Elephas maximus indicus: one gene and its partners. The main gene of each other region encodes a partner of the protein of the gene in region 4 in a complex. Links are inferred from orthologs where the notes say so. Each region holds a gene or a part of one and is shown on either strand. Other genes may lie near its edges. The genes, in order: CETN3, NUP214, NUP205 and E3 SUMO-protein ligase RanBP2-like.

Region 1 (7,784 bases), on a different chromosome or scaffold from region 4:
CAAATCAAGAGAGTAATAGCAAGAATAGAAGAAATGATCAAATGTGGGTAACTAAAAAAAGCTGTAGGAAGAGAGTTTAAGAGGACCTCAAGACTGAGAAAGCCAGACTTACAGGCCTAGTATTGCTTTTATACATTCCGTCCTGTCACTGCACAGTTCTTTCCCCTACTCAGAATTTTGTGCTTAAAAATCCCATACAAAGTTACCAAAATTAAAACCACCAAATAAACATTTATTATATTCACATACCTATGAAGGCTACTAGAAAGCCATTCAAAACTGTTTTTCTCTATAATTTGGGAACAGATAAGGGTAATGGTCGAACATGATGAACACAATGTCACTGAACTGTACATATAAATATTATTGAAATATCAAATACTTTGTTGCATATATATTTACCACAATATTTAAAACAAAAACAGTTTCCCCTTGTATGTTTATAAATAATTCTAGGCGTTAAAGTTGACATTTTTCCCCATTAACATTAGATATCACTTCTGTTGATTGCATCAGAGACAGTAGATTAAAACCTTATTACTAACATGTTAAAATTAAAAAAAAAAAACACTGAAAAAATGATTCATCAAAAAAATGGCAAGAATATAGTAAGAGCTGTTTAAATCCCATAGTTTGAAATCTTTCAATTACATGAATGAAAAATAAGTAACTGCCATAAGAATATATGCAAGGTTTCAAATACTGCTTAAAATACTATTTAAAACTCATTTTACCATGTAAAAGGGAGTTTTGAAAAGGTATGTAAGGGGTAGTATTCAGTTTTATTATAGCACTTTACTGTGAAAGCTTAAAATTGTTTCATATTTCTAAAACCAATTCAGTTAAAAATATTTAAACTATCAACAATGCAAATCATTATAACACAGACATGTATTTTAAAGGATTTATTACCTTTAACTCATGATAATCTATTGCTTCATCTTTGTCTGTATCAAATAGTTCAAACGCATCTTTAATTTCTTGCTTCTGTTCCTCAGAGAGTTCTCTTCGCTTTTTTCTCTTTGTTTTGTCTACTACAAGCTCATTTCTATGAAATGGACAGAAAAAAGTTGTTAGTCTACTCTAATTCTATTCTCTTATGCCTCTGAATTATTAAGACTGCAAAAAGACAAATAAAAAATTATCCAGTGAATGATTTTCTAAAAAGGAATTGTCTGAGCTTCTATACATTTGCCCCTTCCCAGAACCGAAGAGCGTTACAGGTTTTCGAAAGAAAAACAAAGACCTAACTTTCAGTCCTCATAGCTTTGTGTTAATTCCCGTTAATATTACTGTGGAAGCAACAACAACGGTGATTAAGAAACATTACTTTTACGTCACCCCAAACAAAAAACATTACTTTTATTAAACCCCAAACAACAAAAAAGCAAACTTTATTCATATCATCCTACAATATATAGTTAAAAAAACCTCCAAGTAAAATTCATAATTTATGAAACCATACATACTCGATTTACTTTTGAGAGTGCTTATAATTTATCCTAAAAATTACTACAAAAAAAAGTAAATAAAACCATATAATTTATCAATTAACTTACTAAAGATTTTGGCACTGCAGGTTCAAAACGTTTTTACATTACATATTGCTAATGGCTTGGCACTTTGTGATTTAATCCATTGATATTAACAAATCAACCAAAATACTGAATCTAAACATATCACGAATATTAAACGCCAAAAAGAAAAAGTACATAATACTGTGCTAATCCTATATAGATAAGATGAAGCTTCAATGGTCTTCTAGTCTCACTTAGCATGTAAATTATAAATTTCTTATAACAAATTCTGGAAAAGCTTAAAGAAAAATAAAAGCAAAATTTATTTCAAAAGCCAGAAGAAACGTCTTAAGAGACGCCAATCTTTATGTGGTCCAAATTTTCAAATGGTGATGCAACACATGTATAGACAAATCGTATAAAACTTTATAATGTAAAATCCAGTTGATTTTATTAGAACGTGTTATTCGCGCTTCCAGTTGTTTTGGTCTCTGAAATCCGCAACCAAAAAAAAAAAAAAAGAGATGGCTAGAAAGTGACCAGGAGGTGAAGCATGAGAAAGGTAAGGAAGATCTTTCTTTCACAAGAGACCAGGCTTCACACAAGCTTCGACATTCCCGGGGTCAGTCGTTACCGTCCCAAGATTCCGAGAGGACAAGTCTGCAACCGACCGACAACTGACTCAATCCAAGAATACCACAACTGCCCATTAGTAGAAAACAGCACCTTTTAGAGTGGCGTAACTACACGGGTATTTTTCTGATAAAACGTCTACATGGGGATGGTGGAGGGAGAAGCAAGTGGAGCGGGAAGGTTAAAGGCTAGAATGAAGGGAAACGAACTCAATCTAAGGAAATCTAAGATACTGTCAACTAAAGTCACTAAAACGTGTCTCCAATTATACCGCAAAGCAGGGCCCGGGGAGAAGAACAAGGAGGAGCTTTGCATTATTTCCAAAATTTATAACTGAGTGATTACGTCAGCAACTTAACAGAAGGTGGGGGCCGGAGGTTGGGATCACTGAACTCAATGAAGGATACGATACGGCCTGGTTTTTCGCAGGGACACCCAGAGCAGAAAGCCTCGCGATATTTCACTCCCTCCACGATCGCTAACACAGTAGCTGCCTCCTTGGCAGTCCAAAAACCGAAACGGGTTGACAGAAACGATCACCTTAGCCGGAACTCATCACCTACGGAACACCAAGGGCTCCTAGCGTAAGGGTTCCGCGGTCAAGAAAGTTGGCCGAGATTCCGTCCCCGCCCCGCTCCTCATCTCAAACTGCCTTCTTTCCACACGCCCACACACCCACCCCTGGGTCCCGCTCCGGGGTGTGGAGAGCATTGTCTCCTCATTACCGACCTCAGAGCTAAACTCATGTTCTCTTCCGACAGAGACGTTCCTCTCAAGAACGAGTTTAACACCCTACCAACACAGCCCGACTCGCAAAGCCCGTTCAACAGACACCAACGGCGCCAGCAGCGTCAAGGAACGCCCACAAGACAACACTTCTGAGTTGGATTGGTTGAAACTGGCTAATATCCTGCCTATTGGGGCGGGGGCCCTCACTGACTCTGTATTCTCATTGGACAGGTTTAACGTCAAACAACGAAACGTCCTTGCTCGTCCCTCCTGCAGCTCGGTCGGCCCTTTAGATTGGCCAGATGCTTTTACCCGGAATCCTTTGCGGGGCCCGGATCTGGTCGCCTCTGCGGTGTTTGGCGGTGGGGTGGGCGAATGTCCGCTTGAGAGCGCCGTGTACTGGCTGCTGTTTGGAGACGAGCTACCTCGGAAGAAAGGAAGGCAGGAGTCATGTTGCAAGCCGTCTCCCAGCTATTTAAAGGGAGCAGATGGGTGATGAGGTCAGCGAAACTTGGCGCCACTGTTTTCTTAAAATTTTGGATGGCCCAAGAGCTAGGGAGTTTAAAACCTATCCTTAAGTGCCTCCTTTTCCCTGTTGTGATTCCAGGAGGTATAAATCTGCATTTTTCCCCCCTTATATTTGTCCTAGTGATTTCAAAGCAGGTCCTATGGGTAATCACACCTCTTCTCCCCCCTCTTTCTCCTTTGAACTCCTTTGACGGGATTTGTCCACTGTGTCTCATATTATTTTCCAGGGCTGTAAACTGTTCATACACAAGGTGTTACTTTCAGTAACAAACCAAGTTTTTTGATGCTCATTTGGCTAATATGGTTACTTTTTCATCTCCCCACTATGTTGAATTTCTTGAAGGCCAGACTTGTATCTTCCATTTAACTCTAGTCCTAGCAACCTAGCACTATTTGAAGGCCATGGTAGGACTCTCACTTTTCACGTGGAGCCTGGGTTAGATTCCTGGCCAGTGCACCTCAAGCACAGTCACTATATGCCTGTTAATGGAGACATGTGTAGTTATGATGCTGAACAGATTTCAGCCAAGCTTCCAGACCAAGACCAGGAAGAAAGGCCTGGTGATCTGCTGAAAAATCATCCAGTGAAAACCCTATGGCTCATAATGATCAGATTCCATTGTGCATGGTGTCCCTATTAGTTGAGGGTGAACTCAATGCCACTAACAATCCATACACTGTCTAATGCATCAAAAATATGTGCTGCATTTCATAGAATCTTGCTGGGAAGAGTACTGAGCTAAGCTGCAAATCTCGTAAACATGAATAAAATCCTGGGAGGGAGTGTGTGAGTAAGGAAGAGAGAAAATATTTAACTTATTAACATGATATAAAGCAGTGCAGTGGTTGAGAGCTTGGCTACCAATGAAAAGGTCAGCAGTTTGAATCCACCATCACTCCTTAGAATCCCTACGGGGCAGTTCTACTCTCTCCTATAGGGTTGCTATGAGTCAGAATTGACTCAGCAGCAATGGGTTATGATATAAGGAAGGAGCCCTGGTGGTGCAGTGGTTAAGAGCTAAGTTGCTAACTGAAAGGTCGGTGGTTCAAACCCACCAGCCACTCTGCAGAACAAAAATGTCATCAGTCTGCTTCCAGAAAGATTTACAGCCTTGGAAACCCTATGGGGCAGTTCTAACCTGTCCAATAGGGTCACTATGAGTTGGAATCAACTTGACAGCAATGGGATAAAGATAAGGGATGTATATAAAGGTTTAGAGAAGGGAAAGAACACAGTAGGGCTTCTTCAGGGAGATGGCATATGTGTTAGGCTTAGAAGAATGAGCTAAATATGGACAGGTAATTAGTTGCCTGTCTTATTTATCTAGTGCTGCTATAAAAGAAATACCACAAGTGGATGGCTTTAACATACGGAAATATATTCTCTCACAGTCTAGAAGCCCAAATTCAGGATGCCAGCACCAGGGCAAGGCTTTCTCTGTCAGCTCTGGGGGAAGGTCCTTGTCATCAGTTTTCCCCTGGGTCTAGGATTTTCTTAGCACAGGGATCCAGGATCCAAAGGATGAACTGCTCCCAGCTCTTCTTTCTCAGTGGCAGGAGGTCTCTCTCCTCTCTACTCCCTTCTGTATTTTATATCTCAAAAAAGATTGGCTCAAGATACAACCTAATCCTGTAGATTGTATCCTGTCTCATTTCCATAACTGCCTATAATCCCTGCCTCATTAACGTCATAGAGGTTAGGATTTAAAACACAGAGGATAATTACATCAGATCGCAAAATGGAGGACAACCACATAATACTGGGACTCATGGCCTAGCCCCAAGTTGACACACATTTTTGTGGAACACAATTCAATCCACAACAGTGCCACTGAGTCGGTTTGAACTCATAGCACCCTGTGTATATCAGAACAAAACACTGCCCCGTTGTCTTAGTCATCTAGTGCTGCTATAACAGAAGTACCACAAGTGGATGGCTTTAACAAAGAGAAATTTATTCTCTCACAGTCTAGGAGGTTATAAGTCCAAATTCAGGGCATCAGCTCCAGAGGAAGGCTTTCTGTCTCTGTCAGCTCTAGAGGAAGGTCCTTGTCATCCATCTTCTCTTGGTCTGGTAGCATCTCAGGTGCAGGAACCCCAGGTCCAAAGGACGTGCTCTGCTCTCGGTGCTGCTTTCTTGGTGGTATGAGGTCCCCAACTCTCTGCTTGCGTCCCTTATAAAACATGGTAAAGGCCTCACCCCAGGGAAACTCCCTCCACATTGGATCAGGGAGGTGACCTGAGTAAGGATGGTGTTACAATCCCGCCCAATCCTCTTAACATAAAATTACAATCACAAAGTGGAGAACAACCGCAGAATACTGGGAATCATGGCCTAACCAGGTTAATACATTTTTGGGGGGACATAATTCAATCCATGGCACCCATCCTGCACCATCCTCACAGTCGTTGCTATGTTTGATCACATCATTGCAGCCCATTGTAAAGATAGTATAATAGAATAAAACTAAAAAACTAGGCACAGAAAGCCTAAGGTGGTGGCTTAGACTGACATGCAGAATGTCCCCCTACATCAAGTACTTTAGAAACTAAGTGAAACAGATACAGGACAACCAGGGAACCCTGATCATTAAACAGAAGGATTAAGAATTAGACTGAGCTCCAAGTGGAAGGAGAGACTGAAAGAAAACAGCACACATGGAGATATACAGATCCTCAGCACCTTGCCAGCTCGCCTGGCACAACATAGCCATCTTGAAACAAAGCGGGCAGCATTCCTGGGTAAGGAGCACAGGAAGGCAACTACATGGAGCTCACAACAGGAGGAAGAGATACTGTGCAAACAAACCGCGCAGAGGGGAGGGAGCCAGGAACTAGGAAAGGTACTACTCGCCAGTGGCAGTGCCTGAGCATTTGGCCGGGAAGCACCCACTGAATAGTAAAACCACACCCAGCCAGTCTCCATGCACTCCCCCACATTTAAATGAACCAGGCCTCAATTGCCTGGAGCAGCCAAACAAGAGCATCCCCCACACCCTTACCCACCAACTGGCGGGAGTCTGCTTCAGCTGCCTGGAGACCAGCAGGAGCACGCCCACTGCCCAGCAACCAGCAGGAGCACACCTGCCACCCGGCAACTGGCAGGAGCACCTAGGACTGCTGGACTGGTCAGAGCACACCTGCAGCCTGGAGACCAGTGGGAGCGCACCTAGTGATCGGCAGGAGCGCACCTGCATCCCAGCAACCAGCAGGAGCATGCCTGCTATACAGAGACTGGCAGGAGTGTGCCTGCATTCACTGCCCAGCAACCAGCAGAAATGCCCCCTAGCCTGCAGCCCAGCAAGTGGATGGAGAGTACCTACCACATAGTGACCAGCAGGAGCACTCCAGTGCCCATTGGCCCAGTGAGAGCATTTGTGCCTATACCCAGAGCCTATCCCCTACAAAGATGACCTTTCGTGCTCTCCAGCAGATACACTAACTACTAGCATCAACCCAGAAGTACCACATGGTCCCACAAGGGCTGCAGAGGGACCCAGACTACCCAACATTTGTGACCCAATATCAGGGAAAGAACCAGCTATACCACTTACACTCAATCAGGTAAGGGAAGACATACAAGCCTAACTACAGAGGACTCCAAGTGGGTGTGATCCACCATATCCACTAGTGAGAAAATCACTCTCAGCCAACAGACACCACCAAAGTCACACATAGAACCACAAATGGATATGAGGCCTCCTGCCCTGACCTCCAGAGAATTCAGTAACTGCTAGCACTAACCTGGTACCTTAATGCCTCAGATACAGCAGATGATATCAAACTGTATAAAAAAGCAAGACAAGATGGCTCAAGCAAGTGGCAAAGGGGCAGAAAATTTTCCTGAGGAAGAGATGGTAATGGAACAACCTGATAAGGAATTCAAAAGTTGTATATAGACAAAACTCTAGAAGAATTCAGGAAAACAATATAAGAACAAAATGACAGACAATTGTAAACCATATAAAACAGCAACTAGAAATCCAGAAGATTAACAATAAAATATCAGAAATAATGGTTGGACATAGAAGTAGAACTGAATCAATGGAAGAAAGAATCAGCAAAATAGAGGACAAATCACTTGTTACTAATTTGAGGAAGAATCAAAAAAAAAAAAAATGAAAGGTGAAGAAAGCCTAAGAGTTATGTGGGACACTATTAAAAGGAATCATTTAAAAGCATGATTGGAATTCCACAGTAGGAGGAGACCAAAAAAGCGCAAGAGAATTTTTGAAGACTTATTGGCAGAAAACGTCCCTGATACCATGAAAGACAAGAAAGCTTCCATCCAAGAAGCTCAACAAACCTCATACAGGATAGACCCCAAAAGATCACCAAAACATATCATAATCAAACTTTCCAAAACTAAAGAGAAAG
Region 2 (7,053 bases), on a different chromosome or scaffold from region 4:
CTCCTCTGTACAATGGCCCTAGCAGATTGCCCTAGGCTTCCACAAGATCCCACTGGGAAATGGATTTGAGGGGCATCTGTTGAGGCCCGTAGACTTGAGGGCTAGATGATCTTTCCCTGGATAGGGGAAGAAGTCCTAATCCTTTTTTTCTTTTCTTTTGTTTTTCTCCATCTCCAAACCAGAGTCATGATGTTTGAAGGAAAAGCCAATGAGAACAGCCCGAAGCCAGTTGGCCCTCCTCCAGAGAGAGACATTGCCAGCCTACCCTGAGGACCCTGCCTGGACCTGCCCCTGCCCTACCTGGCCTCCCCGCCCCTCCTCCTCTCTCCACATCTCGCTGGCCTTCTTGACTCATTGTGATTTGTCTTGTTTGTTTGTTTGGTCATTGCGGGTTTGTTTGTTTGTTTCATTGGACAGAATCAGTGATCTTTTTGTAAAGCACAAACTACCTGCCTTAAAAGGGCTCTGGGTGGTGGAATCCTGAGCCTTCAGTCCCCTCTTCACCCATCCTTCCATCCTCCCTCTGCAGAAGAGCTGACATCAAACCAAAAACCACAGGGACAGGGGAAGGGCCAGAGCCAGGGCAGGGAGGCTGGGAAGGCTCTGGAGTTGGGACAAGGCTGCAGGGCCTTGTGAACATTTCCTCTGGCCGCTCTGTGTTTCCAGCGTTCTTGGCTTGGCCCAGCTTCCTGCCGGCCACACCATGGCCTACCACCCCAGCTGCTCTCCACTCAGTCTGTGCTTCTTATCCTCAATGAGGGTTCTCAAGGAGGCGACTGGAGGAGGGGAAGAGAGGAGTTTGGCAATTTGAGCCCTTTGAGAAGGTACCGGAAGGAGCTCTCTGGCCATGCCACCAGCAGCGACCACACTTTTACAGGCAGTTTGGAGGGCAGGTGCAGCTGCACAGGCCGGCCGTTGCTGGAGCAGGAAAGGGCTTTGGAGGGAGAGATGGGGCCAGGGACCTTAGGGGAGGGGTCGCCTCAGTCTAGTCTCTTTTAGGAAGGATGCTGAGGGCAAAAGGACAGGAGAATCAAGAATAAAATGTTCATGGCACAAAGAGTCAACCTTACTATTAAACCAAGAGCTACCTTTCTGACCCCAATCTTCATGAAACCTGACTACTCTTCCCCCATTTGTCTTCCCACCCTACTCACACGATTCACTTATTCATTCTACAGATATTTATTGACCATCTGTTACGAGCTTTAAGTCCTTCCCCTTTATCCTGACATGTGCTGTGTCCACTGTCTCTCTAAATCATCTCTCCTTTTCCAAATCACCCAAAACCTTGAGTTTTGGAATTGGATTGGGGATACCTTTGTTCTTTATTATAGACTCACAGGATTTAAGAGTCCCAATCCACCCTGCAGGTTAGCTGGGCAGTCCTCCCATGTCACAGGTGAGAAAACCATGTTTGGCCCATAGAGATTAAGTGCCTTGCCCAAGGTCAGGGGGTTAATTTGGAGATGGAAGGGTCTGGACCAGAGCTCAGGTCTTCTGATCCCCTGCCCACACCTCATCTCTGCTCTGGAATCCTCAGTTAGTTGTGAAAACAGGGAAGGATTGGGGAAAGGTAGTCTCCTAGGTCAACATTTGGGTAAGATTTTCCTTGCCTGGAAGGCCCTGGGCCAGGATTAACTACCCAGCATTTCCAAGTCAGCATCAGGGTCTGTATAAGGCCTGGGACTGCCTTTACAGTTCTGGTGCCTGGTTCTCAGAACACATGCAGGAAGATGTCAAACTTGGCCACTTCTTGGCTGAGCAGGGGGTCTCAGCCTTGATACCACCTGTGCTCTGCAGTCCCTTATCTCTCCCCATGCAGGACTTGGATGCACTTATTCATTGAACGTATTTATTAAGCACCTGCTATGAGCAAAGAACTAAGAATCCAGCAGTAAAATAGGACAGACTCATGGAATTGTGAGTCTAGTGGGGAAGTCAGACCCAGATAATAACATGAGAGATGAATGTTAGGAATGGGGGATACAAGGGTAACTGCCCTGCAGTCCTGGGGGAATGAGCTGGGCCCAAGACTGGAGACTTGGAGAAACCTTTGCAAAACCTAAAGTAGAAAGGTCTGGGGGCTGTTGGAGCCAGTGCGGGCTCCCTGTGGCTCCTTAGTGACCCATAATCAAGGGCCCAACGTGCTGCTCCCTATAGTAGCTTGAGAGGATAAGGGAGGAAGAGGGTGGGGAAATGGCCAGGTTAGATTAGTCCACTGGTCTCAACCAGTTCAGGAGCAAGACTATTTGGCCATGACTGGCTGATCTTCAGCCTAAGAAGCTGCTTCAAATGCACAGGCCTAGTCGAAGTTTAAACCCCAGTAAAACACTCCACCCTGTAAATGTAAAATCCCACCTCTACCTCCTCTGCCTTTTTTTTTTTTTTTCCTGAGATCAATAGATTAGCAGCTACCTGACCCCAAGGCTTCTCACTGCCTGTCCTCTTTGGGCAGGCTGGGACCTTTGAGCAAGGTAAAGCCTTCCTTACTACCCATCATATTCAGTGTACCCGTTCCTCACTCACAGAGAAAGACAAAACTAGCCAGGCTTATTTCAGTGGGTTCCGCAGCTTACAAGACCGAAGGAAGCCTCCTTAAGGAAGGAAAACAAGCTGGTGTGTTTCCAGCTTCTGGAAAGGGCCGGAAGAGGGGCTCTCTCATTGGATGGGGGGGTACCTTGGGAAACCCCATCAGTTCCTTCACCACTTCTTAGAACTCAACCCTTGGTGGAAAGGGTCTCAAGAATGTTTCTCGGACAAGGGGCCTGCATGTATTTCAGGTTGTGGCTATTGGCTCTAGGATACTTACTTCTCTGGCTAGGGGCTCAGCTTCTTGGCGCTTCAGCTGTCTTTATTTCTGAAAGACCAAATCTATCTGTAATGTAACCAGCAACTTGGGGACTGCCAATTATGGCTTTGTCCCTATGACTCAAAAGGAAGGAGTTTGTTGGGTAAATCCAGGTGGATGAAGTATGTGTGTGTGTGTGTGCATGTGAGTGCGTGTGGTGTGGGATATCATCTCTACAGATTGGAAATAAACCAGACAAACTTATCGATGTCATGATTGGTTTATTTTTAATACAGTTCTTTAGCTCAGCAAATTCAGAAGAGCTAGTTAACAGATTAAAATGTGCCAGACTTATTTAACCCTCACAAAAACCTCCGTGAGATAGGTTCTGTCATTGTCAACCTCTTACAGATGAGAATTGGGCTTGGAGCAGATAAACAACTTACTGCAAACCTGATAGTGGTAGAATATCCTACAGCATTTATAATTCCATTACAAAAAATTTCTTCTACAACAGGGCTGTGTAATAGTTATCAAATTCAGACAACATGAATTCTAATCCTACCTCCAACACTTTCTGGCTGAGGGGCACTGGAGGAATTTTCTTAACATCTCTGTGCTTCAGTCGTCTCATCAATTAAACGGCAATCCCAGGTGGCTGGGATGTCTTGACAATTAAATAAGATAAGCACAACTAAAGGGTTTTGCCCAGAACTCAGCACAAACTATTTTGTTAACGGAGATAGATACGGCTCTTCAAAGGAGTAAACAAAGCTGGTCTTTGGTGCCCTTTTTCAAAACGGACTTTTGTGACAAGGTTCCATCCACCTATTTTCTGAACTTCTCTTCCCTTACCCTGCCCCACCAAAGCCTCTCTCAAGAGCCGCCCCTGTAAATATTTGTCAAGTCCCTGACATCTCTGCATCGGGAACAATAACCACCTACATCGAAAGGTTACTGTGAGGTTTCAACGGAACAAGGTGCTTGCAGCGCTCAGGCGTCAGACGCCGAACGAGTAACTCCAACCCTAGGCGAGACCGTAAGCGTGGGGGCGGAGTCAGGACGCTCCAGGCGGCAGGCGTGCGGGCCCTAGGGCCACGCCCCCACTCGGACTGAACTGGCCAATGGGAGGTGGCAGTCCGAGGAGCGCGCGGCTTCAAGTCTACCTCTAGTTTCCTCAAACACTTAGCGGAACAGGACGCGTGACGTCATCAAAGCGCGCCGGAAATGCGAGTTCAGCTGCGCGGTACTGTCCCTGAGGGAAGGAAGTTGGCCTCGGAGCGGCTTGTGCTCTGTGGGCAAGGCCCAGGCCGGCAGCAGTAGCTGCTTCGACAACCTGTGTGCGGCGCGATGGGAGACGAGATGGATGCGATGATCCCCGAGCGGGAAATGAAGGTCAGATACTGGCCAGGGGCTCCCTCCCTTAGTACTGGCGTTGCCTTGGAGCCCCGCCTTCGGCTTGAACAGGTTACGGCGTTCAGAGTTCTCACTGGCGTTGCTCTGGAGCGCTCTGTTGTGCCGCTTGCGTGGTAGCCCCACGGAATGAGCTTCCCCGGTCTTTGTTAGTCTTGTGCATTCTTCTGGAGTTATCTTAGCTGCTTACATGTGGTAGTCTGAGTAGTGGTAATAACTGTTTATTGAGCGTTTATTGTGTGCCAGGCACTGTGGTAAGCATTATCTCCCTGAATCATCACCGCAACCCTATAAAGTGGTTGTTAGTATCCCTGTTTTACAGAGGAGAAAATCGAGACCCGGAAAGTAGCTTATCCAGTCACATTTGACAAGGGGACTGAAGTCTAGGTTTATTTAAGACACTTTCTTCACTGTCACGGTACTACTTCTGTAGGGCGGTCCAGACTTGCTTAACATAGAGCCGAAGATCAGGCATCTTACAAAACCTTTAGGTAACTGGCATAGAAGGGCTATTTTGGCGCAGCACATCAGCTTAAGGTCAAGAAAAGGGGAGAAATAAGTGGTCCAAATGATGGTAAAGTTGGAGAGTGCGGGGGTAGGTCCCCAGGATGGTTGTGTTTGACGTTTCTTATAAATTTTCTGATAGAACGAGAGTACAGAGAACAAGCTACATTTCTTTTACATAGCAAACGGCTAAGAGGAAATAAGTTACAGGAAGATTTCAGGCATTCATGTGAACAACAAATCCCTAGGAAGCATTTACCCACCCAGTGCCCTCGAGTCGTAGGGATAATGATCCATATTTAGAGTAATGATTCTTACTTTTTCTTCTTGAGAATCACTGCTGTGGTGAGCAACCCAGAGGGAATGTGTCATGTTCCTCAGATATGCTGGAGCAGAAGAAAAGAAAGGTTTTAGGACCACAGCCTTAGAAACGATAGTCTCCCTTTGAGTTATATGATTGTAACAGAAAGGAGAGTTCTCCTGTGCTTCTTCATCCCACTGGCCTACTGTACCCATGTGATTAAGACCCAAATAAAAAATTTAGGATTATCAGGATAAGAATTACAAAAATGAAATTTTTATTCTCCTCCTGTATGAAACTATAGTGTGGTCTCATCTGAAAAGCTGTGTGAATTTCAAGGTTTCCAAGGAGTGGCTGGTGGATTCGAACTGCCAACCTTTTGACTAGCAGCCAAGCTCTTAATCACTGTGCCACCAGGGCTCCTAGTTGGAATTAAGAAAGAGTATTTCAGTTAATCTTTTAGCAAATATGTATTAAACACCTAACCCAAGGAAACTAGTACGTGGGTTGTGTTGGGGCCATAGAGTTGGTTCCTACTCATAGCAACCCTGTGTACAACAGAACTAAACACTGCCTGATCCTGTGCCATCCTTATGATCATTGTTGTGCTTGAGCCCGTTGTTGCAGCTGCTGTGTCATTCGACCTCGTTGAGGGTCTTCCTCATTTTTACTGACCCTCTACCCAGCATGGTGTCCTTCTCCAGGGACTGATCCTCTTGTGGGGTGTGGAAAGGATCCTATATGAAACTGTATAAGAATCCAGTGTGGAAAAAAAATGAAGGCTGAGAAAAACTGTCCTTGTTTTTTACAATTTTGGATTATAAGCATAAAGTTGATTTACTGAGGCCTTGACTTAAAGACAGGCTTAGAATTATATTAAAAAAAAAAAAGTGTGTGTGTGTGTGTATATATATATATATATATATACCCACAGTGTAGTTTAACATAGTGATTGATAAACTTATGTATCTCTTATTGAAAACTTAGATAAATCCATGGAAGACAGGTGAGTCAGACATTGGCAGGAGATCAGGGGAGGAGGCTCCCAGGCCAATTATTTATGTCTAAAGGCCTTAAGGTACTAAAGAGCATGAGGACTGAGGGAAATGGGGTGGGGGGGAGCAGGGAAGGTAGCTGTAGCAGTGGTGATAGTGCATTTTTTAGAGGAAGCGGAGATGAGACTACAGAGGTAGAGGGATCAAGCCATGCTTGACCTTATAGATTGTGTTATGAATTTTGGTTTTGTGTTTTAAATGTTCTCATAGCATCTGTGTTTTGCTTAAAAGCATTGAGCTTCAAGAGATTGTCCATTTCCATTTTGTGATAGAATGCTTTTTTGGCATATGATATAAGTAAGCCAATTCTTGGGCTTTGGTCATCTTCTGTCATCATTATTTCAATATATATTTGTTGACTACTACACTAGAAGTTAAGAGTTCACTGTAGTTAGGTGATACTTTCAATATTTAACAAGTATTAAGCTCTACTCTGGGTCTGAGACAATATGCACTTAACATGACAGGATAAGATTATAAATAATATAGTTTGTGGTGATTCGAAGAATAAATACAGTAGGAATTCAGAAAAAAGAAGAGATCAGTGTGAGCTAGATTAGTCCAAGAAAAATTTCATGAAAGTTTTCTCTCATTTATCTCATTTAACAAATATTGCACACTATGCCAGGCACCATGATAATAAGCACAAGAATTTAAAGACACACTGTCCTTAGCCTCAAGGAATTATATTCTTTTGTTGCCTTGGAATTGGGTCTCTTGGAATATAACGACAGACATAATTTTCTGTTAGCCCTGAATTTTTTTTTTTTTTCCCCTCAATCCTTCACAATAGGATTTTCAGTTTAGAGCACTGAAAAAAGTGAGAATCTTTGAGTCCCCTGACAAGTTGCCCAAGGAACGCACGAGTTTGCTTGCCGTGTCCAACAAGTATGGTCTGGTCTTTGCTGGTGGAACCAGTGGATTGCAAATTTTTCCTACTAAAAATCTTCTGATTCAAAATAAACCTGGGGATGATCCCAATAAAATTGGTA
Region 3 (7,262 bases), on a different chromosome or scaffold from region 4:
ACAGATCATTGGACTACTGCTGATACTCAAGGGGTGTGAGAGCAATTTCAAAGAGCATGATACAAATACAAGGGTTTGCTGAATGTGCAGATACATTTTGGTTCAATTTGCGCAGGACAGGACTAGTATGTCACAAGTTACATGATTATAGTCGCAATGATGCGTTCTTTTGTGTTTGGTGAGCAACAACTGAATGTGAGGTCATACCTGATAGGTCCGAAATGAAAAGGAAAATATAATTGTTATCGTATACAACATTTATAAAATATGCATTTTATTTCTTTGTGGAATCGTTCAACTCCCATATTTGGAGATACATACACACATAACTGATGTAACGATAACAGCACTTCTCGAAAAGCAAGTTTGTTTTGTGAGTCATAACAATGTCAATCGACTTCTGAAAGGAAATGGAAAATAAAATACACTTATATAATTTTTATTATCTAACGTTTCATTTAATTTATTTCCTTGAGGAATTGTTCAATTTCCTTACACAGAGATACATAAATATTCTGATAAAATATAATGTTCTGATAAATGTCCTTTGTTGCTTTCTTGGAGGATGAATTTATAAACAGACTCATTGTTGCAAAACAGAAACATATTATGCATGATAAATATTGAATTTTGCATAATCTTAACTTGCCTGATACTGTGTTCATTAGCACATATACAGCAATATCAAGCACTGTGTTCACACAACAGACAATAAAAAACAAAACTCACTTGACACATAAATTAAAACTTTCCCTGTTAGATAAATATTATTATTTCTAGTATTTTTGGATGTTTGCTATGTTAGTATTACATTAAATTATTGCCCATTAGTATTATATTAAATGTATGCTAAACTGTGTCTGCCTTTATGCCAAACATATTTTAAAGTTATAAATGTTATTGTTTACATTACTTAGGACATAATTCAGTATGTAAATGCTAGACAGTTAAAAAGTAACTTGATTGGATTCATTGCAGTAGTTGACTTATTTGAGTTCCCTCACTTTTGCGAGTCATCTGGGACTGGAGTTCCCATTGGCTGTTTACCAGGACGTGCACAAGACCGTATCCTTGTGTTTGCATCATGGCCAAAATCATTGTCTCCTGGCTGGAGTTGCTGGATCAGCAGATATGGACGGGTGTGACTGGATCTGAGACTTGTTATCTATTAATATAATCCATCCTTGCCCAGTAACCACTCTTGTTGGATCAAGCTGCATATTGGATGAATGTAGCAAGAGTTAGACTTGACGGCCCACCCCACCTCTTATTTATTCGGAAGAAACAGTATACTCACAAGAGACTCACTGAGACAAGGAATTTCGATTACACAGGAAGGGACCGTAGGAGACAGATGTCAACAAAGATGTTGAAGTGGTAGGGGCCTCATAGCTTAAACAACCCTATGTATAGGCACTGTCGTGACCTTGTGTGAACTTTATTTCTGGTTGGCACATTCTCACGCACTGGAATGAGTATCAGTTTCGTTTAGTGCCTTGCCAGTTCTCTTCCTCTGTGGTGCTTGCTTTTCCTTGTGTCTTGTCTTCTTGGCATCTATGGGTCTTTGCTTTGGACAACTGGTGCCCCTGTTTTGTTGACACTCTAAGCACGTGCTTACCTTGGTTATTGGGTAATCCACCCCTGGCTGCAGCGAAGGACTCAGACGTGCTGGCAATGGTAAGGATGATGCAGGACCAGGCAACATTTCATTCTGTTGTATATGAGGTTGCCTTGAGTCGGAGTCAACTCGACAGCAGCTATCTGTCTATTTTAAGATCTGAAAGAGCTTCGTGTATGCAGTTAAATCTCAATTAGGGCAATGAGAGAAGTTATGAATAATCTAAAACCATTGGGAGTGCAAGATTATAGCCTTCTGTCTCTTGGAATGGATCAATTGGACTGTGGCACAGTGCAGCCCCTCGTTGCAGATTAATCACAAATTGTTTAATTGTAGAGCACTCCCAAGGCCTCAGTGCACTCTAACAGCCTGGTTAAACTAGCCCTAAGTAATTGACTACACCTCCATTTCGCACTTATTTTACCATATATATATATATATATATATATATATATATATTGCTGTCAAGTCAATTCCCACTCATAGTCAAGTCAATTCCCACTCATAGCGACCCCACAGGGCAGATTAGACATAGCTTATCCTTATTTAACAAATGCTCATATAGCCTATGTGTCAGGCACATTCTAAGCACTTTACAAATAAGCCTCTCAACAACCCAAGGGCGTAAGTACTATTGTCATCGTCATCCTCTTTGAAAGGTGAGGAAACTGAGGCACTGAGGATTGTTTCACAGCCAAGTGATTGAAACAGGATTTGAACCCCAGAAGCCTGGCTCTAGGGTCTGGTTTCTTAACACTATTCTACATGGCCCCTCTCTTTCTCTCCCAGTAAGTAGATTATGGAGGCGCCAGGAGAGAGGCCCAGACTAGAGATACAAGTACGGATTTATCAGCCAACAGGTAGTACTAAGAAGCCATAGGATCTCCCAGAGAAAGCATGTAGAACAGAGACCAAGGGAGGGACCATGAGGGGAGAGCTACATTTAATGGGTGAAAAAAGGAAGAGCAGCCCATGCAGGAAACGTAAAAGGAAAACTAGAAAGAGGAAAACCTGGACGTGTGATGCTCCACAAGCCAAGACCAGAAAAAACGTTTCTAAGACATTCAGAAAAGTGCACGTGGGATTTGACAGTTGGTCACAGGTGACTTTACTGGGAGCAGTTTTAGAGGGGTGGTGATGGGGGCAATATCCTGATTGCTATGGGTTGAGGCATCCCATGAGAGAACTTGAGTCAGTGTGGTGATGGGTGAGCGTGAGCTGCAGGAAGTTAAATCATTCCTTCACGGAAAGCAAAGCCATCGACCAAGAGGGAAGTATGTGGGCTTAAAGAGTGTGTGTGGGAGGAAGGCTTGTAAGAGTTGTGCTGAGAAAGAAAATCTTGTTTGGACTCTGCTTCCTTCCAAGTTCCCGATCAATTTTCTTCTCACCTTCATGGAGAACTTCATGAAAAATCCCTTCATTCTCTCTTCCTCTCTCTTCCCCTTCATTCCTGAGAATCACTTTCATTGTAGCCTGGCATTTGCCTCTATACTGAAATGGCTTTCAAAAAAACCACCAGTAACTTTTGTGTTTCACCTAGTGTACATTGGACCAGTCTCACTCAATATTATTTGTTCAAAAGAATGAATATACTCAATATTCTCAACAGTATACTCTATGGTTTTATCTGCATTATTTAATTCTAATTCTGACAGTGAACTGGGAATGCAAACCCTATTTCCTCTCAACCTCAGTGAAATATTGGAGTTGATAAAGTGAGACTGTAAGACACATGGAGCATCTTTGAGATAAGCAGCTATAATTTTATCATCCCTCTTATAGGGTTGTGGCAGGAATTAAATGATATAATGCATATACGATTTTTAATATATGCCTGGCATAAGTTGTAATGATTTTTATATTTTAGTTTGATGCAAGTGAATAAACAGGGCCCAGCTATTCTGATGCTTAGGTAAAAAATACTTGGTGTTTCTGAAATATGTCAGGAATTTGCTGCGGAGAGGGGAGAATTGGCCAAGTTTTTGACGTTGGAGGCTCGTTATTTTTATTTTGTATATGTTCAAAACTTTCATAATAAAAAGTTATGATTTGTTTCCCTTTGATTTCTTTCACTCTCTGTAATGTTGACGCAACATGCAAGGAAGAGTTAGTTTTAAATTAAGAGAATTATTTTGAATGCACGGCTTTTATAATATCATAAACAGGCGACATTTTAATAACTAGTCTCAGGATGTCTTTGTCCAGCGTTACGGAGCCCTGGTGGTGCAGTGGTTAAGAGCTTGCCTGCGAACCTAAAGGTCCGCAGTTCCAATCCACCTGAATCCACCAGCCACTCCTAGGAAACCTTATGGGGCAGTTCTACTCTGTCCTATAGGGTCGCTGTGAGTCGGAATCGCCTGGAAAGGAACGGGTATAAACAAATTTCACTTATCACCAGGAAGAAACTACATGTCCCAGGATGCCTAGAGGCTCAAAGTAAGACAGAGGGCCTCGCGTCTCCGAACTGGTTGCCCTCGCCTTACCTGAATGGGATTAATCCCGGTGGAGATTGACGTTTGTGACCCAAAGCAGATTCTCGAGTCTTTCGCCCGCCCAGGCCGACCGAGCGCGCCGTTCGGAGGGGACAGCGTGGAGCTTTTCTGTTCAGGCGCCGCTGCGGGCAGCCTCACCCCGTCGGGGTCCTCCGTGCGGCCCGAGGGCTCCGTTAGTACGCCTCCAAGATGGCGACCCCGTTGGCGGTAAATTCGGGTGAGTGCGGCCAGGGCAGGAGGGAAAGGCCGGGCAGGGCAGGGCGGAGATCGGTTCTTCAGGGAGGAGCTCGGGCTGTGAGGTTCCTCCGAGGCCAGGCCCCCACGCGTGCTCGGTATCCGCCTTTTTCTAGCTTTGGGCCTAGGGTCCCGCTCCTCTCAGGTTTGAATGGCACGCGTTGGCGCGGCGGCTCTGGCCCTTGGGTCGGCGTCCCAGGGCCGAGGCAGTGAGGCTTAGTCCCCTGCAACCGGATGTGCAGTCTCTCCCAGCCCGGGGCCGAGTCTGGTTCCTGCTCCCCCTACCCTATTAGGTATCCTCGGCCCGGGTTTCGCCAAGATAGGCGTCAAATCTCCGGCAGTGAGCCCAAAGGACCTGAGAGATTTTTCAGCCACGAGCGGAAGCTGAAAAACTCGAACCCCAAATCCGTAGGGAGGCACCGGAGCCGCTGACAGGGGAGTCCTATAGGCAGTGAGGACCCTTGATTATGCAGTCTGCGATCCGGAAAGTGGCCGGGCTTGGGTTGCCGCGGGCTTGGCTGATGACTCCCAGCTCTGCGGGCGTGGCCCGGCTCTGGATGCTCCTGTACCTTTGGGGCAGTAGATCTTCGGGGTGGAACAGAATTTAGAAGGTGGCAAAGGAACTCTAAAGAGCACTAGTGACGCAGTGGTTAAAGCGACCGACTGCTAACTGAAAGGACGGCAGTTCGAAACCACCAGCCACTCCGCAGGAGGAAAGTGTGGCAGTCTGAGTCGGAGTGTACTCGGTGGCAGTGGGATTGGAAAGGAGTGCCGGAAGATTTGGGGTGGGGCTTCTTTTGGTGTTTTTCCACCCAGGGCGGTACCTCCCCCAAGGACGTTTCATATTGGGTGCATTTTTGATTGTCACAATTCCTGGGGTGCGATACTGGCGCTTAGTGGGCGGGGCAAGGATGTCAGAAGTCCTGTATGGGCGGGGCTGTCCTGAAAACGTAGGATTTCCCGCTGGGAATGTCAGTAATGCCCCGGTTGAGACGCACTTAGCTTCTTGGTCACAATTAAGAGAATACCTGTGCGATAAATCTTTGTAGAGAATCTCACTCAAGAGCACTCCTTCGTGGGAGCCTTTTGCCTCTAATTATGCAGTGCCTTTTTGGGGGGGAGGAGTGCAGGTTCTACTTTTCACAGAACGGGTACTCCTGAAAAATTGTCTAAATTTGAGTTTTATAAACCAAACCACTTAAAAACACTATGATAAATTATTTTATAATAACGATGGTTTATATTTATTGAGCACCTGTGTCCCAGGCACTGGACTGACTGCTGTACTTGTATTATCTCGTTTAATTCCTCTGAGGCGCCTATGGAGTGGTGGCTTTTAAATACCTCGCTTTACAGACTTGAAAACAGAGGCTTCGAGAGGTTTAGTGACTTCCCCAGGATTTATACAGCTTAGGGGCTTAAATTACTGCACCCCGCCCTCAAAAAAAACCAAACAAACCATTGCCATCCAGTCAATTCCAACTGATAGCAACCCTATAGGACAAAGTAGAACCGTCCCCTAGGGTATCCAAGGAGAGCCTGGTGGATTCGAACTGCCGACCTTTTGGTTAGCAGCTGCAGCACTTAACCACTACGTCGCCATGGTTTCCAAACTATTGCACGCTACTATTTAATCACAACCCAATTCATTTTATTACATCAAATTTTCATATATTTAAATTTTAATAATGAGGTTACGTCCTTAATGTTGCTGTCACGTTTCCTACCAGGTATAAACTTAAAAGCAAGGCTTGTATACTGTGTGTGTGTGGTTATATATATTTCCTTAGTACTTATTCATCCTGAGTTACTATCATTAAACACTGAAGCAGAAAGGAAAAGCAGTTGTCAACAGTTGCAAAGTGTTTATTGTACTTTGTATAATAAAGCCTGTGGCAGAGCTTTTAATTGGCTATGTAGAAAAGAAACATTTTTTTAAAATCTAAGAATCAGGAGAATTTTTTTTTTTTTTTTACAATTGTAGAAGGGGAAAAAATAGATTGTAGAGTCCTAAGACCTGTGTTTGAACTTCACCTGCATGACTTACTAGTTGTTGTTAGTAAGCAACCATTAACAGTACTTGACAGTGCTTCCAGTAATCTGGTCACCTCTGCCCCATTCACAGCAGTGACAGTTTCAGACCTTTTTCACACTCCTCAAATCTTTAACCTCCAGCTGATACCTCAGCCTCAGCCACCTAGTCACAGAGAACATGAGAAGCCAACAGGCACAACCTCTCTTTTTTCACCCTTTGTCACACATACAAACCTAGATATCTCTGTACCCTTTCCAAGCAGTTTCCTCCCCTCCTCCTATTTAAGGCAATATCCCCCTTTTTTGTTATTTTAATTAGTTTTTATTGTCTTTTAAGTGAAAGGTTACAAATCAGGTCAGTCTCTCATGCAAAAATTTACATACACCTTGCTATACACTCCGAATTGCTCTCTCCCTAATGAGATAGCACAGCCCTTCCCTTCACTCTCTCCTGTGACCATTCGGGCAGCTTCTGGCCTCCTCTGCCCTCTCATTTCCCCTCCAGACAGGAGATGCCAACATAGTCTCATGTGTCTACTTGATCCAAGGAGCTTGTTCTTCACCAGTATCATTTTCCATCCCATATTCCAGTCCAATCACCGTCTGAAGAGTTGGCTTTGAGAATGGTTCTTGTCTTGGGCTAACAGAAGGTCTGGGGACTATGGCCTCCAGGGTCCTTCTAGGGCCAGTCTGACCATTAAGTCTAGTCTTTTTACAAGAATTTGGGGTCTGCATCCCACTGTTCTCCTGCTCCCTCAGGGGTTCTCTGTTGTGTTCCCTGTCAGGGCAGTCATTGGTTGTGGCCGGGCACCATCTAGTTCTTCTGGTCTCAGGCTGATGTAAATTCCACTCTTTATGCCCTGCTCCCTGTCTGTTATCCTTCT
Region 4 (7,384 bases):
TGAGACACGCAGGTGTGGACGCGATCCTATTGAGCAAAGCAAAGACTTTGAGAGCTTAACTTTGGAACTTCGCCCAGTTCCCAGACTGGCCACTGGGTGGCGCAAAAAATGGGACAGAACCGCAAAGGTTTTGGAAACTGATCTTGGAGCCATAGGAGTTGGAACTTGTGGCTTAAACCTAACCAGGTAGATGGCTGAAACAAAAATCTCTACATTCTTCATAGGATTTAGCCAACACCAGATTGTCATAATATAATATGCAAATAGCACCATAATTCAAAAGCATCAGTTCTTCTTTGGTCTTCCTTATTCATTGTCAAAACATCTCTTTTAAAGTGTTAAAAAGCAAAGATGTCACTTTAAGGCCTAAGGTAAGCCTGACTCAAGCCATGGTGTTTTCAATTGCTTCATATGCATGTGAAAGACGGACAATGAATAAGGAAGACTGAAGAACTGATGCTTTGAATTATGGTGTTGGTGAAGAATATCGAACATACCACAGACTGCCAGAAGAACGAAGAAATCTTGGGAGAAGTACAGCCAGAATGCTCCTCAGAAGCAAGATGCCAAGACTTCGTCTCACATACTTTGGACGTGTTATCAGGAGGGACCAATTGCTGGAAAAAGGCATCATGCTTGGTAAAGTAGAGAGTCAGTGAAAAAGAGGAAGACCCTCAGCGAGATGGACTGACACACTGGATGCAACAATGGGCTCAGGCACAACACCGATCGTGCCGATGGTGCAGGACCAGGCAGTGTTTCATTCGGTTGTACGCAGGGTTGCTATGAGTCGGAACTGACCCAATGGGACTTAACAACAACAACATCCATTGTCCGGCTTTCCCATGCATGTGAGGCGACTGAAAATACTATGGTTTGGGTCAGGTGCACCTTAGTCCTCAAAGTGACATCTTTGCTTAACACTTTAAAGAGGTCTTCTGCCTCAGATTTGCCCAGTGGAATACGTCATCTGATTTCTTGACTGTTGCTTCCATGGACGTTGTTGAATTCAGGTAAAATGAAATCTTTCACAACTTCAGTATTTTCCCGATCTAAATAATCTATACCTGTCTTAAAATTCATAGAAGTATACATCCCAAAAAGGAAAAATTTTTCTATATTATTATTTACCAAAAATACCAATATAAATTCTATTAAAAAATCAATTTGTGCCTCCATCCCCCACACCTGCCCCTCCTTCACTGTGTGCAGTCTTATTTTCACCTGTACCATTCCTTTCAAAAACAGCTTTTAAGAACCAAGTCTAAAGAACTTTTCTCAGTCATCATTCCTGATCTTTTGCATCATTTCATGCTGGTGATTATTCTCTCCCTAAAGCTCTGCTTTTTAGCTTGTGGAATGCTATACTTTTTGGGTTTTCTTTCAGCCACTTTGACTGCTACAGGTAGTAGTATCTTGTTTTCTCTACATAATTTGTCCCTTTTTTGGCATAGTGGTTAAGTGCTACGACTGCTAACCGAAAGGTCAGCAGTTCAAATCTACCAGGTGCTCTTTGGGAACTCTATGGGGTGGTTCTACCCTGTCATATAGGGTCACTATGAGTTGGAATCCACTCGACAGCAATGGGTTGTTTTTCTTTTTTTTTGTTTCAGACTGAGACAGACTAAGAGGAAAGGCCTGGCGATCTACTTCTGAAAACCAGCCAGTGACCACCTTATGGTTGTCAGGACATTGTCTGACTTGCTTTGGAGACGTCCTCAGGAGGGACCAATCGCTGGAGAAAGACATCGTATTTCGTGAAGTAGAGGCCCAGTGAAGACAAGGGAGACCCTCGGTGAGATGGATTGGCACAACAGCCACAATGGTGGACTTGGAACATGCTAGCGATTGCGCGGATGATGCAGGACTACGCAATGTTTCATTCTGTTGTACAAAAGGTCGCAATGAGTCGTAGTCCCCATGACAGCAGCTATCTGTATTTCTATCAGACAACACTGATATAGGGGATCCATCCCCACAGATACACACATGTACATACATACATAATATACATACACATGTATTGTCATCTATCTGTATCTTCTAATTTTTGCTTTGTGCAAGCTCTGCCTTGCATGGTTACAGGGAGGGTTGTGCTATTATGTGATAGCTCCAAATCCTTCCTCAGTTTATGGGTGAAATACCTACTTCTGCACACAAAAGGCATCTTAGACTGTACGGACATTGAGGGTAGCATATCCAGAAGCTTTTCTTTTCAGAGATGTATTCAAAGCAAAGGTATTAAAAGAATTATGCCCAAGAACAAAAGATAATGTCAGGGTGATGGGCAGGCATTCCGGTTCCTCTTGCTTCTAGAGCTCTTTATGAATATTTTTAACCTCATCATGTCTGTTCAGTTCAGAAGCCGTGCGATTACTGAAAGTGCTAGTTAATAAGCAGTACTTTAGTATTACTATAACCAAACCCATTGCCATTGACTCGATTCTGACTCATAGCGACCCTATAGTACAGAGAACTGCCCCATACAGAGAACTTTCCAAGGAGCAGGTGGTGAATTTGAACAGTCGATCTTTCGGTTAGCAACCTGAGCTCTTAACCACTGCATCACCAGGACTCCAGTATTACTATAGTAATAGTACTATACTATCATGTAAATTGGGAGTACTGAGAAGATGATGAACTGACAGTATAAATGGTTCTGATGAAAAAAGAATAACATGATATATGAAAGGTACTCTGTCTATGCAGTGGATAATAATGAGCAACAGAGAGCAATGGTACTTGACCAGATGGTAAAAAAAACTCCTTAGTTTGATCAACATCAAATTTGGATGCATATTAATGCAACGTTAATTCAAAAGTCAAGGACTCCAGACTAATCAAGTAAAACTAAAAAGAAAGCCAGATATTTCTATACGGATTAAAGTCTCATTCCCAGTGAACTGGCACAGATTCAACATGAGTGATGGAGCAGTTAGAGTAGAATTCATCCCGTTGCTAAGGAGTTCTTTGCACAGGATATTATGATGTCTGATTTGGGGGGACGATAATTACTTTTAAGAATAGGTTGGATGGAACTGGTCTATACTGGGAAAAGATGCTGGCTAGAATGGACAACATTAAAAAGAGAGTGCCTACTTTTAAAGCCCAAGAGGACAGGCTCATAGTCCTGTTTGGTGGAAAATGAGGTTCTGAGGCTTAATGAACGTGCTTAAGGAAAGCCTTTTGAGCTCCTCAAGAAGGTTCTTTGACTCATATTGAGCTCCTCAAGAAGGTTCTTTGACTCATATCTTCTCAGTATATTCAGTTTTCCATCCCAAACCAGATTATCTCTACATGTTATTTCTGTTAACGTCGGTCACACTAGAAACCTCAGAATCGTCCTTCCCTTTTCCCTTATTCACATCCAATGTGAATGAAATACAACAAGCAAATACTGTTTTTTATTATAAAGTGAATACCTGCAGTGCTGTACATCTAGAAAATATGGAAAAATAAAAAGGACAACAGTTACCAATAATCACAACATTCCTAATTGCCAGTTAAAAATTTTAACAGATTTCATTTGATATTTTCCCACATAATTAAGACCCCACTGTATGCACAAATGTAATCTCTTGTAAACCTAAAAATGTCTTCACCATTGAAAACATTTTAAGCCTTGTCTTAAAAGTATGATTTTAAGATTCAAAATCCAGAAGTAAACATAGGGGGAACACAGGTGTCCCACTATTTTGAGGTGTCTTTCACAGTGTGCCTATAAGGGTCCTGTCCCTCTCGCCACATCCTTCCTCACCCCTAGCACTCGGAGATTGTTATCCTACTCTTCTACTAAAATCATATATTTTTTTTTTTTGGACGATCACAGTTTTGTTAAACATATATGTAAACAAAACTCTGATCGTCCTATCTGACCTATATGTTAATAGGTCTCAAAATGTACTCTTTTATATAAAAGCGTGACTTTTAAAACGTATGCTTCGTATTCACACGTATCAGAATAATATATTTAACCAATCGCCTCCAGAATGGTTGTTCCAATTTACCAAAATGGCGAGACTGGTGGTTCTTTCCACAGCATTACGTAATTACAACGAAGAACGTAGGAACAAGACTTCGAAGAACTCAAAACATCCTGCTGATCTAGTTAAGAGTCCTGGGATCATACGTGGTACTGGATAGTTTTCCCCACGCCTCCTCCGGCGAGAGCCCTGCCGCCGAAAGCCGGAATCTGAGCCTGGCTCCGGTAGGCTGGTGTGCGGAGACCCGGCGGCCCGGCCGAGCCCCAGCGCGGCGGGAGGGCGGCCAGCGGGCGCGGCGGGCTGTGCGCAAGCGGAAGTCCGCGGGGCTGGCCGGAGGCCTCGCTGCCGTGGCCGGCGTGGCGCACAGTGCTGATGCAACACGCACGCACGTCCGGCCGCTCCTCAGCCGGCGACGACGCTGCGTCACGCGCTTTTGGGCGCTTCGTCCCCACAGACGGCCGAGCGCTGCGGGCCCCGAGGCTGGTCTCCCGCGCACCGGGAGCCAGGACGGGGCGCGATGAGGCGCAGCAAGGCTGACGTGGAGCGGTACATCGCCTCGGTGCAGGGCTCTGTCCCGTCGCCCCGAGAGGTAGGACGCCCCGGGGAGACGTGGGCCTCTGGCCCTGGCCCGGCTGCGGCCCGCGGCCCCGCGTCGGCTTCATGGCCCCCGGCCGGCCGCCGCTGCTTCGCGCGTTCCGTTGAGGCGGCGGCCGATCGCGCGGGCGCTGGGTTGCGTGGCGCTCGCGAGAGTGCGGGCGGACGGGGGGCGCGTGTCGGGGGCGAAGGAGCCGGGGCCGCGCGGGGCCTCGCGGCGGGGCAGCGGCCGGTGGCGCCGGCGCTTCCTCTTCCTGCTGGCCGGCGCCGAGCGTCCTCGCTTGCGGACCCGCCCTGGCCCTTGTTCCCTCGGCCGCCAGCGCTCCGCGGTGGGCTCTCGCCGCCGCTGTGCCCCCGCTTGGCGCCCCGGTGCCAGCTCCGGCGGGATTCTTTAGTCTCCGGGATTGTTAGCTCCCCGACCGCGGCGGAGGCGGCGGCACCTCCCAGGCTGGAAGTTGGTGGGACCCAGCGGGGACTGACGCAGCTCCGGGAGGGCTTTTCCTCGGGCCGGAGCAGGGGCTACCGCTACATTTGCGACTGCTTGACGCACAGCGCAGGTGACAAGGGATGGTCTCCTGTTTTGAGGTGTCCTGCACAGTGCTTCTAAGAGCCGGGTCCCTCTCATCATGTCCTTCACCACTCCTAGCTCTCTTTAGAAGCTTCTTTCGTTTGCTTTTATTGTTCTTTAATGGAATCTTAGGAGTTCTGGATTCCATAGAGAATGTCACTACTGTGACTTAAAAATTTTAACTTTTTACACAACATACTGTTAGGGAACTTTTCCTGTTTTAAGATAAACCATGTATTTTGGATTCAACAGGACTTTAGTGGTCGAACGTGGAGGGTAAGTGTGGCTGTGCAGAGGATCTAGAGTTGGTTTGCCTGAGGTTGAATCAGGGCTCTTAAGCTGTTAAATTGTGGAATTGGGCAAGTTAAACCGTTTTCTCATTAATAAAACGGAGTTGTAACGTTGATAGGATGATCCATATTAAACATTTAAGACAGAGCTTGGCACCTGTTGTTGTGTGCCGTGGATTTGATGTCGACTCACGGCGACGTTGTAGAGCTGCCCCGCAGCGTTTCCAAAGCGGTAATCTTTATGCAAGCAGATGGCCACATCTTTCTCCCAAGGAGCTGCTGGTGGTTGAAACAACCCACCCTGCAAGGTTAGCAGTTGAATTCTTTAACCACTGCGCTACCTGGGCTCCTTTCTTTGGCACACCAAACCCAAAACCAAACGCATTGCCATCGAGTCGATTCTGACTCATAGCGACCTTTGGCACACACTAAGCACTAAACGTTAGTGGCAGTTCATTTTTGTTTTTGACGTGAAAAGGACAGTCATCCTTTTTTTTGGGCAAGGAGGGTCCTATGATGATAAAGATCTGTTTAAAAATTTTAAAAGAGTTTTTAGAAAAGCAGAACTCTTGGATTATCATGATTGTAATAGCAACATAGTTGAGTCTCTGTCTATATCCCAGGCTTATGTTATCTTATTTAGTGCTCCCAACAACCCTGTGGATACTGAGACCTGGAGAGGTTAAAGATACAGTTTAGCTTAAGAGCCTTGTCATTCTTCAGGAGGGAATGAATAGGTATCTACATCTAATTGTAATTTTGAACTGCCGCATAGTCAGAAGTATTACCGGGCTGGCAGTGTCTACAAAGGACCTTCTTAAGGATTTCTGTACTCTCTGAAATTCGTAAGCCTTTTTCGTTGTTGTTTGTCTTGTTCTCAGTAAGAAGACACTGGCTTCCAAAATATTAAGAACTGCTGGACTAGGCAGAAGTTAGAGGGTATGGAAAATGACCTTTCAGCTACCTAATCTTTCCATCCAATAAAGTGAAGATGGGTGCAAAGTCTTAAGGATTGTTATTACGGTCACCTTTGTCATACACTCAAAGAATATTATTTTAATCAGATGTTTTCTTCAAAGAAGGTGAAGAAAAAGAAGGTTTAGAGCCTGAGAATGTCAGCGGGGTATGGATTAGCAAGTGAGTAACTTTGGAACATGCGAAGCCACTCTTTAAGCTTAGGTCTGAGTGAAATGACAAGATAGGGTGCTTTGAACAACTTAAGGAGCCCTGGTGGCATGGTCCTTAAGTCCTGGCCTGCTAACGGAAAGGTCAGCAGTTTGTACCTACCACATGCTCTGTGGGAGAAGGTTATGGCAGTCTGCTTCCATAAAGATTTACAGCCTTGTAAACCCAATGGGGCAGTTCTGCTTTGTTCTGTAGGGTTGCTAGGAGTTGGAATCCACTTGACAGCAGTGGGTTTGGGTTTGGTTGGACAACTTGGAAGGAGAGATGGGGGGAGCAGAGACAGTAGCAGAGTAGAAAGGGGTCTTAGTGTTTACTTCACTCATTTTGGTAGAGGCTGGTCATGTGTGAACTGACCATCCTTTTTAGGATGTTCAGGTTTTGGAGCGTGTTGATGGATCCATAATCTCTTATCTTCCTGGTCTTCCATTGTACTTTCATTTGCGTATCTCTTTATTTTACCTTTTTTCTACTCTTTCACGCTGCTTTTGCCCTTGTTGAAGACATCAGCCACCTGTTGTTGTTGGGTGCCATCGAGTCAATTCTGACTCACAGAGACTCCATTTGACAGAGTACAGCTGCCCCACAGAGTTTTTTTGGCTGCATTTTTTATGGAAGCAGGTCACCAGGTCTTTATTTGGCAAAGCTGCTAGGTGGGTTTGAACCACCAACCTTTAGGTTAGCAGCCAAGTGCTTAACTGTTGTGCCGCCAAGGCTCGTTATCAGTTACTTGTCTTTCTATAAATTTTATTTTTCCAGGTAGCTTT

The links.
Region 1: E3 SUMO-protein ligase RanBP2-like (region 4) and CETN3 share a complex: the UniProt entries of both Homo sapiens proteins name them as parts of the nuclear pore complex. The link is inferred for Elephas maximus indicus from reciprocal best matches to the Homo sapiens genes RANBP2 and CETN3.
Region 2: E3 SUMO-protein ligase RanBP2-like (region 4) and NUP214 share a complex: the UniProt entries of both Homo sapiens proteins name them as parts of the nuclear pore complex. The link is inferred for Elephas maximus indicus from reciprocal best matches to the Homo sapiens genes RANBP2 and NUP214.
Region 3: E3 SUMO-protein ligase RanBP2-like (region 4) and NUP205 share a complex: the UniProt entries of both Homo sapiens proteins name them as parts of the nuclear pore complex. The link is inferred for Elephas maximus indicus from reciprocal best matches to the Homo sapiens genes RANBP2 and NUP205.

What each region holds. Positions count from the first base shown.
Region 1 is NC_064820.1:97,036,346-97,044,129, forward strand, and holds the start of CETN3 (centrin-3), read right to left. Parts: upstream 3,014-7,784; 5' UTR 2,897-3,013; coding exon 2,880-2,896; intron 1,049-2,879; coding exon 913-1,048; intron 1-912. UniProt on the Homo sapiens protein: Plays a fundamental role in microtubule-organizing center structure and function. As a component of the TREX-2 complex, involved in the export of mRNAs to the cytoplasm through the nuclear pores.
Region 2 is NC_064827.1:82,068,829-82,075,881, forward strand, and holds the start of NUP214 (nuclear pore complex protein Nup214), read left to right. Parts: upstream 1-4,017; 5' UTR 4,018-4,138; coding exon 4,139-4,183; intron 4,184-6,854; coding exon 6,855-7,050; intron 7,051-7,053. Other genes in the region: AIF1L (allograft inflammatory factor 1-like), read left to right, coding at 183-270. UniProt on the Homo sapiens protein: Part of the nuclear pore complex. Has a critical role in nucleocytoplasmic transport.
Region 3 is NC_064826.1:14,293,050-14,300,311, reverse strand, and holds the start of NUP205 (nuclear pore complex protein Nup205), read left to right. Parts: upstream 1-4,237; 5' UTR 4,238-4,299; coding exon 4,300-4,327; intron 4,328-7,262. UniProt on the Homo sapiens protein: Plays a role in the nuclear pore complex (NPC) assembly and/or maintenance. May anchor NUP62 and other nucleoporins, but not NUP153 and TPR, to the NPC.
Region 4 is NC_064835.1:77,082,936-77,090,319, reverse strand, and holds the start of E3 SUMO-protein ligase RanBP2-like, read left to right. Parts: upstream 1-4,383; 5' UTR 4,384-4,500; coding exon 4,501-4,572; intron 4,573-7,384. UniProt on the Homo sapiens protein: E3 SUMO-protein ligase which facilitates SUMO1 and SUMO2 conjugation by UBE2I. Involved in transport factor (Ran-GTP, karyopherin)-mediated protein import via the F-G repeat-containing domain which acts as a docking site for substrates.